Linked DNA regions of Xenopus tropicalis. The protein of the gene in region 1 purifies or fractionates together with the protein of each later gene. This does not show direct contact. Links are inferred from orthologs where the notes say so. Each region holds a gene or a part of one and is shown in the gene's direction. Other genes may lie near its edges.

Evidence for each region.
Region 2: the proteins of grk6 (region 1) and hsp90ab1 purify together in Homo sapiens (affinity purification with mass spectrometry; 3 studies listed by BioGRID and IntAct, with this or other methods). This does not show direct contact. The link is inferred for Xenopus tropicalis from reciprocal best matches to the Homo sapiens genes GRK6 and HSP90AB1.

What each region holds. Positions count from the first base shown.
Region 1 is NC_030679.2:45,795,398-45,799,219, forward strand, and holds part of grk6 (G protein-coupled receptor kinase 6), read left to right. Parts: intron 1-169; coding exon 170-307; intron 308-390; coding exon 391-525; intron 526-3,822.
Region 2 is NC_030681.2:2,231,349-2,235,009, reverse strand, and holds the end of hsp90ab1 (heat shock protein HSP 90-beta), read left to right. Parts: coding exon 1-85; intron 86-631; coding exon 632-822; intron 823-910; coding exon 911-1,058; intron 1,059-1,196; coding exon 1,197-1,465; intron 1,466-1,555; coding exon 1,556-1,889; intron 1,890-2,007; coding exon 2,008-2,117; 3' UTR 2,118-2,894; downstream 2,895-3,661. UniProt on the Homo sapiens protein: Molecular chaperone that promotes the maturation, structural maintenance and proper regulation of specific target proteins involved for instance in cell cycle control and signal transduction. Undergoes a functional cycle linked to its ATPase activity.

The sequences.
Region 1 (3,822 bases):
TGCAAATACTATAGGGTAGTAAGTATATTGTTTGCCTAGAGCTTATTTCATGGCAATTAAGGGGTCAGGGGGCTATAGACAAATTCATTAATAATTATACAGTCAACTGTTAATATTTAATGCACAACTGAAAGTCATATTTGTAATAACATCTGAAATCTATTTTCAGCCTCAAGCTATTTACTGTAAGGATGTCTTGGATATAGAGCAGTTCTCTACAGTAAAGGGCGTTGATCTGGAGCAGACAGACAATGACTTCTACCGAAAATTTGCCACAGGCAATATCTGCATTCCCTGGCAGAATGAGGTGTGTAAGAGACATGCATGGGAGGATGGAATCATTGCTCAGTCAGTGTACAGTGAATCTATATCTATATATGCCTTGTTTAGATGGTGGATACAGACTGTTTTTGGGAGCTAAGCGCACTGCCCACAGATGGAAGCATACCACCTGACCTGGATTGGAGGGGGCTACCATCCCCACAACCCAAAAAGGGACTACTTCAGCGTTTCTTTAGCAGACAGGTAATAATAAAGGGCTTTCGTCTAAAAGAATTCCAGTTAAGGCTGATTATTATTTACATGTATTTATAAAGAACTAACATATCCTATAGAGATGTGCAATAAATAGAGTATAGTATACAGGGAACAAGTGGGCCCTTTTTCAAAAGATCTTACAATCAAAAAGATCTGATTATTTGGCCTTAAGTCCAATGATCAGATCAAACTGTTGACCTGTAAAGACTTGTTGGAATTTTCTGACTTGTGCCAAATGACCTATTTTGGCTCCCAGGACCACCCATCACTGTTCTTTGTACATCAATAGTGCACTTTTTTATCTATAGTTTTAGGAGGGATGCAGATGGGGCAGGTCCTCCACTGTTTTCTGCTGGGCCCTGTGTGCCACTTCTCTAATGTCACATAAAGTAGGAGAACACTTTTAAAGACTGTATAAGTAATAAATGGCATTATAAAAAGGGGTAGTTATGAAAGGAATGTATACCATTAAAGCCAATGTATCTTGGTTTAAGTAAAACTAATAACTAAGCCGCTCATATATTTTAATCTCTCTTGAATTTTAGATTCATTATTTGCTGTTTTCTATGGTAAAACAATGATCATATAGCTTCTCAGCAAGAAAAAAAGACAGCTTATCCTGAACATGCTTTGTAAAGTACTATTGCACAATTTAATTGCACTCTTTGTAGGGGTTATTAACCACTGCTACTGGTGCAAGTACAAAATTACTATAGAGATACATGGAGCACTTATGCCAATGGCAAAGGTTAGTTCAGACTAAGCTTTGCACCTTGAGTGTGATTAATAAATTAGGTGCAAGTTAAAGAGTACGTTGCTGCAAAGGGAACCTGTAATTACATCTCTTCCCAGCACCTTGTAGCCTCTGGCTTTGCACAGGGCTTCCCTTGCTACCCCTCTGTATGCAGCACTGCCCAATACATTGAGGCACCAGTGAGAAGGGGGCAAAAACAAAGTAATTCATATACATTTTTCTGGTGTTTTAATGTAGCTATGAATGTCAACCTCAAGAAGGGAAATCCTGGGAAAATAGTTTAATGTCTAGCCTAGTGTTTTGCTACATTAGTTTTGTGCAACCCCAAATTTCCAGTAAAACTGGTACTCTAGGTTTGCAGAGATCTATTTTCTGTAGTCCCATTTTAATACCGCCAAACATCTCATGTCATCTACCAAAGCTGCCCTTACACAGCAATAAGTGCATCTGTTCTAATGAGGGCTGCTCATTTCCCCGCATCCTGTCAGTATCCTCACTGCCCAGCCCAATATCCCACTGGTACCTTACATCCTCCCAGCAGTGCAGTGCTTTGCCTCAGTCTTTGCAAATTTGCCATCTTAACAGCTAATCTTTGTGTATGCTCAGCTGCCTCCAGGGTGGAGCATCATTGTGAGAGGAACCCTTAAGTTCTGGGGATTTTAACTGCAGAGTTGCACATCTCAGATGTGTCAGGTAAAATGTTTTTCTGTTCTTTCCCTGCTTTTCTGCCCATGCATAATATCAGATTTTGGTTTGTTACACAAAAAGCCTTTTCAGTGTATGTAGAATCTTTCCATTGGTCATTTAAAAAGAACAGTATGAACTGGAAAGACTATAAGAAGGGCATGGGAGCAAAGCCAAATTCAGTTTGTTCAATAGAAATACCTCATTAAAATGTACAGGTATATTGTATGTCAGTGGGACCTTTTTAATCAATTTGGCTGGGAATAGAGGAAAAAAAAATTGTTTTTTTAAGGACTCTTACACACAGAGGCGTTTGCATTTGCCTTAATTGTGTGGTGGATTTTTGTGCTTCTCATCAGATGGCAATGCAGAAGTTGTTTGATTTTAGTCTGTCCAATGCATTCAGTGTTTATGCTTGCTCTCTTGGGTACAGGCCCATATTGGAGGTTTGGATCAGTTAACACCTGCATTGAGGTGGATTGCCCAAAAATCTTACACACTTCAAACACAGGTCCTTAATGCTTTTTATTGATCTGCTGTGTTCAAAGTGGATGGACAGACAGGGCATTCTTGCTATGGACAGGGATTCTTCATATATGTTGAGCTTGGGTTGGTGCAAGACTGTAATAGACAGGAATACCACTTTTAACAATGATTCACAAACCCCCTGACACCCCAGTAAACCATTTGAAAACAAATGAGTCTGTGCAGGTGATATGAAGCAAGATTGATGCTAAGAGGCTGTGACTGGGCTTCTTTCGTTGATGCCTGGAGCCTTTACTGCAATGCTGTTATCAAATCAGTGGAGAGTTTCCTCTGCTGCTTTTAGTGCGTGTTCTACTGAGTGGTAGAACATAGAACCTATTAATTTTTAACACTTTGGCATTGCTTTAAAAAAAATGGATAAAAGAAAATCTAAATATTATATGGGAGAAATTGTGGTTTCTAGGGGGACCTAGAAGTAGTCTGAAGGCCAGTCAGGGGGAGATTGAAATGTGAATGCTTATTTGATATGGCCTGCATTCACATGTCTGTAAATCTTTTGAACGAATTGCCAGCAAAGGTAGGCTTTAACCTTGGAAGTCTGGAAACCTAATTGAATGGAGCATAAATTTTATATAAAGGGTTTGGTTTGAATTTATTGTGATATACTTGCCTGTGGCTAGGCAGGTGTTACTAAGCAGAAATACAGTACAGTTTGTCTGCATCTTTGTAAAAATGTGGTTGACCTTTATCTAAATAGAGCATTTCCTTCAGTGTTACACACAGACAAGCACTGTCAGTGCCTAACGAGTATTGCTTCTCCTGCACTATGATAGGCTCGGGAAGATAAGTAAATAAAAAGAACAAGGAAGAAACAACCTTCCAGTCTTTCTAAATGTCACAGTATATTGGAAAATATTACAACTGTGCAAATAAAGTCTTGGGTACCACATGGCAACAGAACACACTCGGGCATTGCATGGGGAAATGGCGCCCTCTACCACAACCTGACCAAAACCAAATTTCTTTCATCCAGAGGAAACACATTTGTGTTTTGTGTCAATTTCTATCACATCATGCTATAATGGTTTTCCTAAGAACACAATTATGTACTGATGACTAGAACCTTAATAAGAAAGCCGCCACCTGACGCGCGTCCTACACAAACAGTATCAGACACTGCGCCACTCTCTGCTGCAGCAGACTTTGATTCTCCCACATGGAATAGAGCAAATGTTACTTTTAACCACAGGAAAGTATTTTTTTTCTCCTGGATCGTTATAATAAAGTGCAGCTCCGGCCTTCCTTCGGTTCTGAGCAGAATGAGCGAGAGACTTATGTGAGGGCATAGAGTGCTGACACCA
Region 2 (3,661 bases), on another chromosome or scaffold:
AAGAAGAAGAAGAACAACATCAAGCTGTACGTGCGCCGCGTCTTCATCATGGATAGCTGCGACGAGCTGATCCCAGAGTATCTGAGTAAGTACTGGCCCGAAGCTTAGTGGGCCCCCTCCTTCCCCCCCCCCCCATAGGATGGGATGCTGGGTAAAGCCTTCCAATAGTCTGGCATTAGATGCTTCATTAACAGTCTAGCATGTAGATCTTTTGCTTGATGTGGTGACACAGGCAGGCAGGGCCCCACGCACACCCATAGGCACACAGGCAGGCAGGTAAGTGTGTGGGGGGGCAGGGGCAATTAATTGCCTATTGTAGTATTTCAGCCCAAGAATCCTTGTCTCTTACGCACAGGCCTCTTGGTGCACTCGCGTATCTATAAGGGGAAGACACACGGAGCTACTAGTAGCAGCTACAGAAACAGACAATGTTGATCATTTGCTGATAATTGTCTCTACGTGTGTCTAGCAGAAGGAATTCTCAGTATTGTCTATGGCAGGGGATTTGGTAGCTGCTACTAAGCTGCGCACACACACACGTAGGCACACAGGGCCCCACAGATGGATCCTGAATGTAGGACTTTTGGGCAGTCTCTCCCTGTGCCGCCTCTAACTCTTTTCTCTCTTCCAGACTTCATTCGCGGGGTGGTGGATTCTGAGGATCTGCCCTTGAACATTTCCCGTGAGATGCTGCAGCAGAGCAAGATCCTGAAGGTGATCCGCAAGAACATTGTCAAGAAGTGCCTGGAGCTCTTCACCGAGCTGGCCGAGGACAAGGAGAACTACAAGAAGTTTTACGAGGCTTTCTCCAAGAACCTGAAGGTGAGCAGTGCAGGAGGGTGCCCTGGGCTGTAGTGGGCGGAGCTCTTGTTCGTCCCAGTGGCTCTTGCTGACCTACCTCTCCTTGCAGCTCGGCATCCACGAGGATTCTACCAACCGCAAGAAGCTGTCTGAGCTCCTCAGGTACCACACTTCCCAGACAGGCGACGAGATGGCCTCCCTAACAGAGTATGTGTCCCGTATGAAGGAGAACCAGAAAAGCATCTACTACATAACTGGTAAGTGGCCCTTGCAGCAAGATATCCCATTATGGGCTCCCCTGGGAGAGAGGGGTATTCCTCTTCCCCTGGGGTCACTTCTCCGCAGCTCGCTTAGAGGAAGAGTCTGACACGTGACCCCTCTGTTCTGTCTCGCAGGTGAGAGCAAGGACCAGGTGGCCAACTCCGCCTTCGTGGAGCGGGTGAGGAAGCGTGGCTTCGAGGTGGTCTACATGACTGAGCCCATCGACGAGTACTGCGTGCAGCAGCTGAAGGAGTTCGACGGGAAGACGCTGGTGTCTGTGACCAAGGAGGGCCTGGAGCTGCCAGAGGACGAGGAAGAGAAGAAGATGATGGAAGAGAACAAGACCAAATTTGAGAGTTTGTGCAAACTGATGAAGGAAATTCTGGACAAGAAAGTAGAGAAGGTGAGGATGGGGCAGAAGGAAGTAATGTTGCCCCTCCCCTAGTATAGCCTTGTCCTGCTAACCCCCAACCTGCCCCTTGTTACCCCGCAGGTCACCGTGTCCAACAGACTCGTCTCCTCTCCCTGCTGTATCGTCACCAGCACCTACGGCTGGACCGCCAACATGGAGCGCATCATGAAAGCGCAAGCTCTGCGGGACAATTCCACCATGGGCTACATGATGGCTAAGAAGCACTTGGAGATCAACCCCGAGCACCCCATCGTGGAGACCCTGAGGCAGAAAGCGGAAACCGACAAGAACGACAAAGCAGTGAAGGACCTGGTGGTGCTGCTCTTCGAGACCGCGCTGCTGTCATCCGGCTTCTCCCTGGACGACCCCCAGACGCACTCAAACAGGATCTACAGGATGATCAAGCTGGGTCTGGGTAGGTGTCGCTGAGCATTATGGGAATGGCTACCAGAATCCTTCTGCCATAAAGGGGATTTGTATGTAGGGTCCTGAAACCACCACATTTAGGGTTAACTTCCCCTTGTCTCTCTCAGGTATTGATGATGACGATGCAACAGTGGAGGAAACTTCCCCCTCGGTGGCAGACGAGATCCCACCCCTAGAGGGCGACGAAGATGCTTCTCGCATGGAGGAAGTCGACTAATCGGTTTGCTGCCCGCTCGTCCTGCCCCCTCCCACCCGCGTATGTGCACTGTCTGTAACTCGGTAGGGGGGCGACTTCTCCCTTGGACTCTAAATATCACATGATACTGGGGATGGACTTCCCTCCTTATAGAATATATTTGGGGGAGCTTCAAGACTGATGGCTGCTGACTTTAACCCTTTCCTCTGCACCCCCCTTGTTGTGTTCCAGTCTGAGCAGTTAGTTATGTAAGTTATTGTAGCAGTATGGCAGCTAGCTTGGCTTGAGGTAGCCCTGAGTTAGTGGCCCGCTGTTAGCCAGCTGCTGGGGGGGGGGGTCTGTTTGACTCTCTCAATGCACCTTACAGGCCCCCCCTCTAATCCTACCCTCTGCCACTATTGTAATGGGCGTGTCCCTCTGTGCCCCCCCTGAGGCACGGGGGGTACTTACTGGGAAGCTTTAGAGACCCCCCTGCTGCCTTCTCCCATTCACTTGCATGGGGGGGGCGATTGAATGTGCTGGTGTTTGCAAATAGAAACGCCAGGCCAGTCTGGGGGGGTGAGGTACTTCTGCCCAATGCTACCTCAATCTGTAGCACCCCCAAATCTGCTGAGTGGTAGCCCCCATCTCTCTGACTGGAATCTCGTGCCCCCGCCCCCAGGATGTCTTGAATGCTGAGACCCCACCCCCATCCTACACATCTCTCTATCGAGAGCCTCAATACGGAACTTTATTTTATTTTTTGTTGTTGTAAAGTTGAGAAATGTTGCGCAAAATAAAGATCTTTTTACAGTGAAACAGTTTGTCTCCTGTTTATGTGCTGCCGACTGCACCGGATACAATGCTGTGTTACAGGGCTGTTTCCCCAACTATAAACCTTATGTGCAGTAGTTACAGCCTTGGATTTCTATAAGGCTTGGGATACTGGCATGATATTTATGGGACACTTTGTATCTCTAACACTGTTACACAGCAAATAATTCCCTCTGTCATTTATCCTTTTATTCTTCAACCAACAAATGTATTTGTAGCTGTAATATTGGTGTGTAGGCGCCATCTCAGTGCCTTGTGCCCGAGTCTGAGCTTTCAGCCAGCGCTACACATTAGAACTGCTTTCAGCTAACCTATTGTTTCTCCTACTCCCATGTAACTGGAGGAGTCCCAAGCCGGACTTGGATTTCTTACTATTGAGTGCTATTCTGATACCTACTGGGAGCTGCTATCTTGCTCCCTTCCCATTGTTCTGCTGATCGGCTGCTGGGGGGGAGGGGGATATCACTCCAACTTGCAGCGCAGCAGTAAAGTGTGCCTGAAGTTTATCAGAGCACAGCTCCTTGTTACAGCCAGGAGAGGGTGCTGTTCTGAGCATGATTCAGCCTGGCTGCCCCTGCTCATATGAAAATGATAATGCCCCTCCCTGTGCCTTGTTGCCCAAGGCCATTATGTTTGTGCTGCTGGTTTCTTCTTGCCAAGTCCATAAAGCCCTTAGGGTGGGTGTTGTAGGAGGGGCCACTGGTAAAGGCTTAAATGACCATCTCTGGGGGTTGGGGGGGGTTGTACCAAAG